3 linked regions of the Cricetulus griseus genome follow. The protein of the gene in region 3 interacts with the protein of the main gene of each other region in a biochemical or structural test. Links are inferred from orthologs where the notes say so. Each region holds a gene or a part of one and is shown on either strand. Other genes may lie near its edges.

What was found.
Region 1: the proteins of Noxo1 (region 3) and cytochrome b-245 light chain form a complex in vitro, tested with the Homo sapiens proteins (3 studies listed by IntAct). The link is inferred for Cricetulus griseus from reciprocal best matches to the Homo sapiens genes NOXO1 and CYBA.
Region 2: the proteins of Noxo1 (region 3) and Noxa1 form a complex in vitro, tested with the Homo sapiens proteins (2 studies listed by IntAct). The link is inferred for Cricetulus griseus from reciprocal best matches to the Homo sapiens genes NOXO1 and NOXA1.

The regions. Positions count from the first base shown.
Region 1 is NC_048596.1:199,072,116-199,075,481, forward strand, and holds the end of cytochrome b-245 light chain, read right to left. Parts: intron 2,915-3,366; coding exon 2,833-2,914; intron 1,117-2,832; coding exon 907-1,116; 3' UTR 813-906; downstream 1-812. UniProt on the Homo sapiens protein: Subunit of NADPH oxidase complexes that is required for the NADPH oxidase activity that generates, in various cell types, superoxide from molecular oxygen utilizing NADPH as an electron donor.
Region 2 is NC_048599.1:136,439,867-136,443,747, reverse strand, and holds part of Noxa1 (NADPH oxidase activator 1), read left to right. Parts: coding exon 1-82; intron 83-790; coding exon 791-899; intron 900-2,071; coding exon 2,072-2,206; intron 2,207-2,583; coding exon 2,584-2,691; intron 2,692-3,643; coding exon 3,644-3,697; intron 3,698-3,881.
Region 3 is NC_048600.1:44,285,823-44,290,361, reverse strand, and holds the start of Noxo1 (NADPH oxidase organizer 1), read right to left. Parts: upstream 2,999-4,539; 5' UTR 2,925-2,998; coding exon 2,830-2,924; intron 657-2,829; coding exon 557-656; intron 464-556; coding exon 383-463; intron 249-382; coding exon 146-248; intron 59-145; coding exon 1-58. Other genes in the region: Gfer (FAD-linked sulfhydryl oxidase ALR), read left to right, coding at 3,179-3,415, 3,747-3,943. UniProt on the Homo sapiens protein: Constitutively potentiates the superoxide-generating activity of NOX1 and NOX3 and is required for the biogenesis of otoconia/otolith, which are crystalline structures of the inner ear involved in the perception of gravity.

The DNA.
Region 1 (3,366 bases), on a different chromosome or scaffold from region 3:
GAACCTCTAGCAGCAGTGACAGGTGGGGAGATGAAGGGCTGGCTCTGTGTCACCCCAGAGCCCTGGTTCTGCCTGATGCAACCCATCCACATGTTTTTAAACAATTATTTATTTTAAGTGTTATTAAATGGACATAGTTCAACTCTTTATTTATTCCTGCAAGTCTTCTTTCTTTCCCTCCTAGCCCTGTCCACCCAGTGGGTGCTCAGAGGCTACTAAAGTCCCAGATTTCTTTCCTAAGGTGTGCGTGTTGAGAGAGTACTTCTGGGGTGCGGAGGGGCTTCAACAGGACATGCACAGCCATTAGGCCTGCGTCTTCATCTTCCTACAGGGGCAGCTCCTGCCCTAGGCAGAGAATAGGCTCCTCACGGTCACATTATGCTCTCCACTCTTCAATATTACTTTGGCCACTTGGGGACACCATCTCTGCCTGAAGTTAACCCCCAGGAACACTCCTCTGCATCAAGACAGGCAAGCAATCATTGCCACAACAAAACTTCCCAGCATGGCCCAGCCAGACCCAGGGCTGTGAGGCCAAACTGGAGATCTAGACTGCAGCCTAGGGCCAGGAGCCACCAGGATAGCAGCCTGTACTCCAGACCCATTGGGTGCCTTTGCAGGGGACTGGGAGCCAATGGCTTCCACTATTGGAAGACCTGGACTAGGCTCAGGGTCCCACTTGTAAGCATAAGTCCACCCAGGGTCCATTGGACAGTTGTCAGGCCTTCCCTGACTGGCCTTCAGGTCACCACACAGAATGGGGTGCATGTCACAGCCCCTCCCCCAGCCTCACAGGAAGAACCACTCTCCACACCAGCTATTCACTTTTTATTACAATGGGCATCACCACCCCCTGGTGGCGACTCAAGGAAAACTTAAGCAGGAGCTGCAGACAGCAACTGAAGGTCACACAACCTCATCTGTTACTGGAATTGGGTTGACCTGGGGGCCTCCAGCTGAGGCTGCCTCCTCTTCATCCACACTTGGCTTCTTGCGGGCCTCCACTGGTGGCCGGGGTGGGGGATTGGTAGGTGGCTGCTTGATGGTGCCTCCAACCTGTGGCCGCTCCTTGGGTTTGGGCTCAATGGGGGTCCACTGCTCACCCCGGATGGCTGCCTGAGGGGCAGAGAGGGACTGTGTTATGCTTCAAGCTGCTTACTGTCACGGGGGACTCCAGGTGGACATAGGTCTTAATCCCTAAGCAGGATGGCAATGGCTTACATTAATTGACTGGCCCAAGGCCACACAGTCAGGATCTGGGGCTGCCTGACATCAAACCCAAGCTATGTGGCTATGCCAGGAGGGCCCTGCAGTGGAGGGAGCATGGAGCCACCGGGCTTCTATAACACTCCCAGAAACACTTCCAGATACAGACTCTATAATCCCCTCCAAGAGACACCCACCTTCGACAAGGCCTCCCCAAGGATGTCAAGCATTCTGTAGGAAGCGTGTAGGGCTGGGTGCTAAAAATGCAAGCTGGGAACAGTGCTGCTAGCCTCCTGCCACATGCACTTCCACAGCAGCTGACTTAGGGTATCTGGGAATTGCAAGTAAATTTAGTATCCCACAGGGTGGTGGTGGCGGTGGTGGCAGCGCACACCTTTAATCCTAGTATTCTGGAGGTAAAGGCAGGAGGATCTCTCTGAGTCAGAGGCCAGCCTGGTCTACAGAGCAAGTTCCAGGTCAGCCAGGGCTATGCAAAGAAATACTGTCTCAAAAAGTAAAACAAGGGGCTGGAGAGATGGCTCAGTGGTTAAGAGCACTGCCTGCTCTTCCAAAGGTCCTGAGTTGAATTCCCAGCAACCACATAGTGGCTCACAACCATCTGTAATGAGATTTGGTGCCGAACATCGTACACTAAATAAATAAATATTTTAAAAAGTAAAACAAAAACAAAAGCCATAAATAAATTTAGTAGCCCACAATGCTTGAGAGATAGAAACTCTGCAGCACACTGACACCTTCAAACACCTGTGGCTATACCTTTAAACACCTGAGGCTACATCTTCTAACTAATAAGCTAGAACATTCTATACAGAAGATAAGAATGGAGCTGGCAGGAGAGAATCAGAAAGACATCCATAGTACCTCAGAAAGTGTGTGTGCTGGTGGTGGGGGAGACTTTTAATGAACACAAACTAAGCTAGATGAAGTAGCTTCTACCTGCCATTCAGCATTAAGATTAAGAGGTGGAAGCAATAGCCGGATGGTGGTGGCTCACGCCTTTAATTCCAGTGCTTAGGAGGCAGAGACAGAGGCAGAAGTAGTCAGATCTCTGTGAGTTTGAGGCCAGCCTGATGTACAAAGTGAGTTCCAGGACAGACTCTAAAGTTACACAGAAAAAACAAAACCAAAACCAAACAAAAAAAAAAAAAAAAAAAAAAAAAACAAAAAAAACAGAGGTGGAAGCAAAAGGACCAGGAGTTCAAGGTCATCTTCAACTACATAGCAAGTCTGAGGCCAGTCTGGATTACAGGAGACCCTCTCTTCTTCTCAAAATAAACAAATAGATAGGTATGTAGGTAGATGATAGACAGACAGATAAGACAGATGCTTCTGTGTCATGAGCTCCCCAAACTCAGGTAGGCTTTGATGAGCAATGGGCCCACACTGAGGTTGGACCTGGGCCAGCCTCACTGCCTCTCTGAGTCTGTCTCTTTAGCCACCTGCCTGACAGAGCTACAATGCAGCTTCAACTGGGAAGTGTCCAGTATATACCAGACGTGCACTAACCAAAGCTGAAGTGAGCAAGGAAGCTGTCATGAGGGCCCAGAGCACCAAGAACATGGGGGCGGGGGATGGGGGAGGCTTGTACAGAGGGCAGCCACTTACCAGAAGGTAGATCACACTGGCAATGACCAAGCAAACTGTTCCCAGGATAGTGGCCAGAAGGAAGCCTGCAGGCACTGACAGCCTTGAGGGTAACAGGAGGAAGCAAATGGACAACAGTTAGAAGGGCTCTTGAGCTCTAGGCCACAAGCTCTCAACGGGAGATTCTGTCCCCAGGACCCTAGAATGAGCAGCGGCCAGCTCTGCCTAGGTCCATTTTAGGTTTGGTATAAACTGTTCTCTACAGTAATGTGTCCTTTGATTCAAGCCCCAGCTACCTTGTTGGGGAAAAGGCTTGAGCTGGGGTGTGTCCCAGTCCAGGCTTAGCAAAGACCAAGAACAACAACAGGTGTAACAGACCCATGGAGACCCACCCAGCATTGCAACTGTAGCTTGACTGCTAGGTTCAGTGTGCACCTCAGAACAGATGGCAGATTCAGGTCTAGGACCTTCTGCCCTCTCTAAAAGCTGGGATTTTCTGTCTGGACAAACATCAATGAAGAAGAGGCTTGGCTAATCCCTAAACTCCTGTCCAGG
Region 2 (3,881 bases), on a different chromosome or scaffold from region 3:
CATTTGACCAAGCAGTGACCAAGGATACCTGCATGGCTGTTGGCTTCTTCCAGCGGGGAGTGGCTAATTTCCAGCTGGAGAGGTGAGCATAGCAGGATCCCCTGTCCCTTATTGGATGGTTCTTTGTCTCTGCAAAGCAATGCTTGCACCCACTTCCTTCCCTCTCTCCTCTGGATCCCCTCCAGCCTGGATGAGGATGCTCTGGTTAGGCTGGCCCCTGCCCCCCACAGTCCTGTCTCTGTCAAGATTCATGGCTCTAGTAGTGAGAACACTGTGTCTACAGCCAATTTGCAGATGTGAAAACAAGGGCTTATCCAAGGATGTGGATGGCCTCCCAGCTTTCTAAGGGGAGTAGGGGAGGAAGGATAGTCAAGGCTGCAGGCTCCAATTAGCCTAGGAGAACTGACTGAGGACGTGGAGAATCTAGAGGGGGACAGAGATTCCATCCAGAGTTGGAAGCTCAGAGATCAGAGGAGGTCCCATAAGGTTGGGCTTGAGAGGCAAGAAAGGAGAGCCCAGGATGGTGGGAAGAGGTTTGGAAGTGTAAGCAGTGGTCCCCGTCAGGTAAAGAGAGCAATGCCTGGGAGGCTAAGTGGAATTGGACAGTAAACTCCCGTTGAGCATGGTGGTCTGAACTCGTCCCATGGAGTTCTGATTTCTAGGTGACCACTATTGCCTTCAGACCTCCCAACGCTGGCACCGACGGGAGGATGGGTGGGGTACCCCAAAGTCATCCTTCACAGGCTCAGCTCCTCCCTTGTGGCTATTGAGAGGCCCCTGATGCTCACAGGTTCCAGGAAGCTGTGTCTGATTTCCAGCTGACCCTGGCACAGCTGAGGGGCAATGCTGCCATTGACTACACACAACTGGGTCTGCACTTCAAATTGCAAGCCTGGGAGGTGAGTGGGCATTTCATGTGGGCAGAGTTCAGACACCAAGCAGTGTCACTGAGGCTTGGGGTTCTGTTGGGGGATCTAGGGTTCATGGAAGTTCTAAGGTTCTGCCATGGCACTGGGTTGCAATAGAGGTCCTATCATGTAGTCTGGGGTCCTGGCTGGAGTCCTAAGATAAAGTCTAGAGTGTTGCCAAGTGCTGTCACCTTTATGTTGGTGTTACTGGCCATTTCACATGGCCAGCCATGTGAAATGAGGTGTCCTGTCTAGCTAAAGACTTTTGGAGCCCTGAAATCCCCCAGCTCTTTGATTGGAGGCTGGAGTGGCAGTTGTGGGAGCAGACTACTTCCATACTTTGGAGCCAGCCAGCATGGGCTCATGTGGGAGAAAAGCAGGACAGAATTGAAGATCATGACAAGGTGACAGACAAGTTTGGGGGAAGGGGGATTAGCTCAGCAGTACCTGCAGCTGAGCCAGAGGAAACAGTAGGAACAGGGGGGCCATAGAGAGAGTGGGTGTGTTTCTCTCCTTGTAGCAAAGCTGGGTTTCTTGTGTATGTACCTCCCCAGGATGAAGGAACGATGGGCTCCCAGCATCATTGCCTGTCACTGGGGCTGTAGGGTAGCCTTAACTCAGTCCACTTTGCCCATGAGAATGCTCTGAATGTGGGGTTCTGAATGTCCCTGGACAGCCAATGGGAACCCTTAGACATACTCTAGACTCAGTTAATGGGGATGGCAGAGTATAGAATTAGGAGGGCATTAGCCAAGGGAATACGTTGTGAGCCACCATGTGAGAGTTGGGAATCTAACCTAAGTCCTCTGGGAAAAAAAAAAAAAAGCAATGAATGCTCTAACCACTGAGCCATCTCTCCAACCCCCCCCCATGCCCCTGCAGCAGCACAAGGGGACACTTTGAAAGGGAGAGCTACTTCTGCTGTTTCAAGTAGAAAAGCCCAAAGCAAAACATGGCACTGCCAGCGGTAAACGAGATAACAGGGAATGACCATTTGGCATCTGACAACTGAGCCAGCTAGGCAGCAGGTGGCCTGGTCCCTACCTATAGCTCCTATGGCAGCTGAACATACAGAAGAACCTCCAGCTACTGTGACTGGGGAGTTCAGCTGAGGACCATCTTGCGGGCCTGGCCCCTGCTGTCATGTCTGCCCTTGTTCCTAGGTCCTATACAACATGGCATCAGCAGAGTGCCAGGCAGGGCTCTGGGCCAAGGCTGCTGATACTCTAGTGGAGGCAACTTCCAAATGGCCAGAGGGGGCCCAAGGTATCCTGGACACTGCCCTGGACCAAGTGCAGGTGAGGAGGGCAGGTGGCAATCACACTGGTTTGGAGCCAAGTTCTATAGCTTATGCCCTCAAGACTAACTATAGCCGGGCGTTGGTGGCACATGCCTGTAATCCCAGCACTTGGGAGGCAGAGGCAGATGGATCTCTGTGAATTCGAGGCCAGCCTGGTCTACAGAGCCAGTGCCAGGATAGGCTCCAAAGCTACACAGAGAAATCCTGTCTCAAAAAACAAAACAAAAGACTAACTATAGTATAGGGAGAGAAGTAGTCTGGTGCCCCATACTTCCTGTAGCATGTCACATATGATGGGAGCCCAAGCAGCCCCTCTGCTTCAAGACTTGGGGTTGTTGCAGCTGTGGCCACCCAGGTTTACACACTCCACTCCAGAAACAGGTACCCCTGCAGCTAAGGCAAGTCCCCAAGGGTGAAGTCTTCCAGCCTCCCAGGCAATACCTACAGCACCTGAAGCCCATGGATTTCCTCGGCAAGGCTAAGGTAAAGCACTCGGGTGTTTTCTAGCTTGGGTACCCAGCTGCCAAAATGGCAGTTATAGCCTATGTCAAGCACATGGAGTGGTGGCTCCTGCAGTGGACATCCAGTGTGTTTATGAGGACAGTTGGGTGTAGTCTAGGCCACTTGAAAGTCAGACAGGTAGAGAGTGGGCACAAGGCTCCTAGGGCTGGGAGTGGGTGTTCTTACACGAGGCTGTACGCCCCGAGGCAGAACTTACCAAAAGTCAGCTTTAAAGGAGGGCACCCCAGCTTCTGGATGGAAATCCCCAGCGGTGCCCCTCTGACTCCACTCTTCAGTTGCTCCCAGTATCTGTGCATCTTCGTGTATTTCTGTTTCTGCATCTCTGCTACAGACAGCAGGGTCCCAGAAGGGATGTGTATGGCCAGTCTAGGCCATATCAGGCCCTCTAAACCACAGGCTATGGTGGAGTCTCTCACCTCCAAATAGAAGAGAGGAACTCAAGAAAACAGTCACTTGCAGTGTCACAAATACGGGCCAACTTGATATTGTATTATTGGTCCCTGGGCTGGCCGCACACCTATGGTCATTTGCCACAGCACTCACGCTGGACCTATCAACACTATGTGACCACATGTAGCTGCCTGAGGGGCACACTGCCTTTGAATGTCCCCCGAGGTGGACTGAGTATAGGTGGAGAAAACACTGTCCTTGAGAACCCATCAGAGTTCACTTGGACCACTGTTAAAAGATACAAAAAATATTTAAAAAGTTGTACTAAAATTGAGTTATATTAGTAGTATATGTTTCTCTTGGTCATACCTTATTTTTTTAAGCTGTAGTGGTCTAGCAGTCTTGAGCTAGTTGTAGGCAGCCCATACCCTGCAGATTACAGCCATGGAGGTACTGGGAATTGGGGACCTGGAGGAGAAGACTCAATGGGGCCCTAATCCAGCTGTATTCCTGCCCTCACTAGGTGGTGGCATCTGTCATCCCTGACAACCACAATACAGATGGCTGGCCTCAGCAGGTAGGTGGGTAGGGATGGAACAGACCCAGGCCTATCTTTGCCTGGTTTTGCATGGATAAGGAAAACAAGGCATAGGCAGGCTGAGCCAAGGGCTTGAGCCACATGGTGGGAAAGATTTGAGGAGGAGGGTACCCCTCCTCCTACAGATGGGCCAAAACCTAGACCTTCAAAGAGTTGGCATCTA
Region 3 (4,539 bases):
AGTCGCAAACGTACCAGACCTCGGCCAGTATGCCCCCGACGTGTCAGCAGTGGAACATCTGCCCGGGTGTCACAAGAACACACTGGGACTTCTCACCCACACTTGTTACCCCTGTGACCACCCCTGTGACCCCTGCAAGCCTGACCAGGAAGCTTGGGAAGAACTCTTTCAGATCTCCGGAGCAGGCCCGCCTCCACTGGGAAGGTTTTCTTAAGGATCTTCTGAGGGGAAGAAATGGGTGTCAGTCCCTGAAAGTGGAGAGAACCCCCAAAGGGAGGAAAGAGTCCCTGAGAGAGCTACAGGCAGGAAGGGAGGTCATGTAGCTATTGGCCTCTGGATTGGAGGATGAGCCACCCTGTTGAAATAGTCCCATGTTATTTACCTGGAGCTTCCTAAACTCATCCCAGCTCCGGCGAACAGACGAGTCACTGTTGTCTGACCAGTGCACAGAGAAGGCAAATGTCTATGAGGGAAGATTGAGTTTCCGTCTCTCTTAAGATTTTGTCAGCTACCCTTCTGCCTCTTTGTAGCGGAGGATGGGGCTGTATGGTCCTACCTGAAGTCGCTCCATCTGCACCAGGGCTACAGCATGCGCTGATACTGGGTGTCTAGGACCCGCCATGGTTGTGGCCTCCTGCAGGGTGCTTGTAGGGGCTCTGAGCAGCCGGAAAAAGTGAAGTGGAATTTCCCAACACTGCCCTAAACTGTCCCTGCAGAGCATACACACCTGGAAACCTTTCAGTTTCCTGGTTATTCTTCAAGCACAAAATCTAAGAGAATTCATCACAGCAGGACTGTGCTAGGGGGAGGGGTAAGCCAGGGCAGGTAGGAGGAAAAAATGAAGCCCTTTGTACTGAAACAGAACTCTAAGGGGCTGGAACTGCCACCTGGGGCTCCTTTTCTCCCTCAGCCAAGGGAACAATGGAGGTAGGCAGCTCCTCCTAAAGTACCGCCTCAACCTCACCTGCCCCCTCTGCCTCTTCCCCCACCCTGCTGTAACTCCCAGGGTGTGTCTAACAGCTTGATTTTTGAATTTGCCTGTGGGGCTATACATTGCTATCATCTGAATCAAGTATTTCACACCTGGGTCCTTTTAAGTTAGGTTTTTTTTTTTGGGGGGGGGGCAGAGGGTTGAGACAGGGTTTTGCTAGCTAACTTGCAAAGGCTGGCTTTAAACTTGGGATATTCCTGCCTCAGGCTCCTGAGCAGCTAAGGTTGAGACCCATGTAACTAGGCCATGAAACCTACCTCCTTCCTTGGCCAAACCTTGACATCTCCTTAAGCAACTGGTTCTTACATACAGGCTATTTCAGAGACAATGGAAGATGAGAGCAGTAGTAAAGGGTTGAGTACCTACCACTAGGGACCTAGAGGAATTGTGAGCCCCTCTCATCACCCACCTGCTTACTCTCACTGAGATGTACACAGAGGAGCCCCAACTCTGTCTAGTAAGAAGTTCCTCCCTGTCTCTTAATCCACCCAGCTGGAGAGATGAGTCAGATAAGAGCACTGGGCTGTTCCTCCAGAGGACCCAGGTTCAATTCCCAGCACCCACATGGCAACACACAACTGTCAGTAACTCCAGTTCCAGGGGATCTGACATCACACAGACATACATGCAGGTAAAACACCAGTGCACATAAGAATAAATAAAAAGCTGGGCAGTGGTGATCACACTTTTGTTTTTTGAGACAGGGTCTCTGGGTAGCTCTGACTGTCCTGGAACTCACACTGTAGACCAGGCTGGTCTTGAACTCACGGAGATCTGCTTCTGCACACCTTTAATCCCAGCCCTCGGGAGGGAAGCAGAGGCAGGAGAATCTATTGAGTTTGAGATCAGCCTGGCCTATAGAGCGAATTCCAGAACAGCCAAGGCTACACAGAGAAACTCTGTCAAAAATATCACTCTAACAAAAATAGAAGAAATCTTGCAAAGTAGAAATGGGATCAGGCCAAGACAGTTTTGTCCCAAATTGCCCAACGTCTCCCACTGCTTTTAGAACAAATCCCAATTTCTAGCATGGTTGGTGGGCCATTGCCCAGCTCTGGATCCTGGCCTCCTACCTTCCCAGAGTCCTGCCCCCAGTGGCCTTTGGTGCTTCTGCAAAATGCGATAGCCTGAGCTGATTTCTCATTTTATGGGGCCTGTGCTTAAGGGTCTCCAATTTAGGAGCGCTATATTCCCACACCCTATACCCAGCTTTCATCAGTTTGTAAATAAAATTTATTTCTGTGACTGGGTTTTCCCCATCTTCACTACTGGTCAAAGGCTAAAGAGGCTAGGGAAGGAAGCTTGTTCCTTGTTCTGTTCAGTGCCGGAAACAGCGCTTGGAGCAGAGTACCACTGTACAAATATTTGCAGAATGAATAAATGAACACATGGAAGAGGGAAAAGAATTCTTCCTGTGATGGCCCAGGCTTCTAAGTCACGTACTAGAAGAGGTGGCAGCTACGTAACAGAATTCCAAGTTAGTCCAAGTTACATGACTTTGTCTCAAAAAAAAAAAAAAGGAATTCTTGAGGCTGAAATAGGCATAATAACCTCCCCCCGCCAATGTTATAGGACGCGTCCCAGGCCTCTCCCAAAGTTGCGGGGCCCAGTAACTAGGGCAAAAGTCGACCCAGGCCATTGGCGCTGCCTGCTCTGTGAGGCCACGCCCCGCCGCGCGTTGCCAAGCACCCAGAAGCGTGTAGGTGGGCGCGTTGTACGCCAGAAAGGCCCCAACCTTGGCCGCTAGCGGGTAAAGGTCTGAACCGAGCGATGGGGGCGACGAGAGAAGCATCTCAGACCTCGTCTCAGCCCGACCTCCCAGCGGGGCCGCAGCGCACCTTCCACAACTCACTACACTGCGGGAGGAAACCCGAGCTCCCCCATGCACCACGCACGCCCGGCCCGCGGCGGACAACCAGAGCCCGAGCCGCATCCCCCTATGCCGCCTCGGCCCGTGCCTCCCGCTCCGGCTCCTCCGGCGCCGGGGCCTCCGACTCCGCCGAGACCCGGGCCGCCGCCTCGACCCCCAGCCCCGCCCCGCCGCCAGGCTCCGCCTCCTTCCCCAGCGTGAGCTCGGCCCCCGGCCGCCTTTCCCGCTCCAGCCGCCGCGCGCTGGCAGTGGCGTGCGCGCTCGCCCTGCCGGCCTTCTGGAGGCCCTCTTGGCCCCGCCGTCTGTACGCCGGCAAGATGGCGGCGCCCAGCGAGCCCGAGGGCGCCTCTCGCAGCAGTCTCTTTTCCTTCCTGCCCGGCGGCGCGCGCTCTGAGATGACAGACGACTTGGTGACTGACGCGCGGGGCCGCCGCACCGGGCATAGGGACGCCGCGGCCTCTGCCTCAGCCCCGGGGCCGCAAGGTTTGCAGCACGGGAAGCCGCCGTGCCGAGCCTGCGTGGACTTCAAGTCGTGGATGCGGACCCAGCAGAAGGTGCAGATACCCCGCCTGACCGCCCAGTCCCGGTCCCCCGCCCCACACCGGGTTTCCTCAGGGTTGGCTATGCCTAAACATGTCCACCCCCTCACCCACACACACCCCTAGGGTCGGACTTTGAGCCTTCAGCCACTGGCTGGCCGATCAGTTTACTAGGCTGCCAACTGTAAAGGGGAGCATTCTTGTTTCCTTTATTCTTTTGGTGATACTGGGAATCCGAACCCAAGGCCTCTGGCGTGCAACACAAGCAATCTGCCACTGGGTTGGAATTTTGTGGGCTTCTGGTTGGGGAAGAATGAACTGACCCGTAGTCGGCCTACTTCTGCAGCGGGACATCAAGTTTAGGGAGGACTGTCCGCAGGATCGGGAGGAATTGGGTCGCCACACCTGGGCTTTTCTCCACACGTTGGCCGCCTATTACCCGGACATGCCCACCCCAGAACAACAGCGAGATATGGCCCAGTTCATACATATATTTTCCAAGTTTTACCCCTGCAAGGAGTGTGCGGAAGACATAAGGAAGAGGTAAGTGTGCCTTACCTCTGCCAGTAAGGCCCTGAAAGGGGCCTGGCGGATGCCATAGAGAGGGGACTAGAAAAATAGATGCAGAGGTGACAGGTTGCTAGAAGAGGGACCACTCAAACGAATGTTGGGTCATGGGAGCCCTCTCCTTCCTCCTCAGAGCCTAGGTCTGTGAATTGTTAGCCTTAGAATTTTTAGGAAGATTAGCTAAGATTCCATGTTGCTTAACTTCTCTAATCTCTCGGTGTGGTTACCGATTTTAAAAATGGGAATGAAAGTCTGGCGTTAGTGGCCCATGCCTTTAATCCCAGCACTCTGGAGGCAGAGACAGGTGGATCTCTGTGAGTTCGAGGCCAGCCTGGTCTAGCCAACACTCACACACACACACACACACACACACACACACAAAAAAAAAAAAAAAAAAAAAAAACTTGGTTCACTCATTGGCTTAACTTAATCTGTTCTTTATAGGTATTTCTAGGTTGGACCTATTAGGCACTTGCACTTGCTATTTGAAGCCTGGGTAGTTAGGAATGAAGGGTATCTCTTGCTGAACTAGGCCTCTGGTGCCAAGAAACACTGTGCCAGGCCCCACCTGT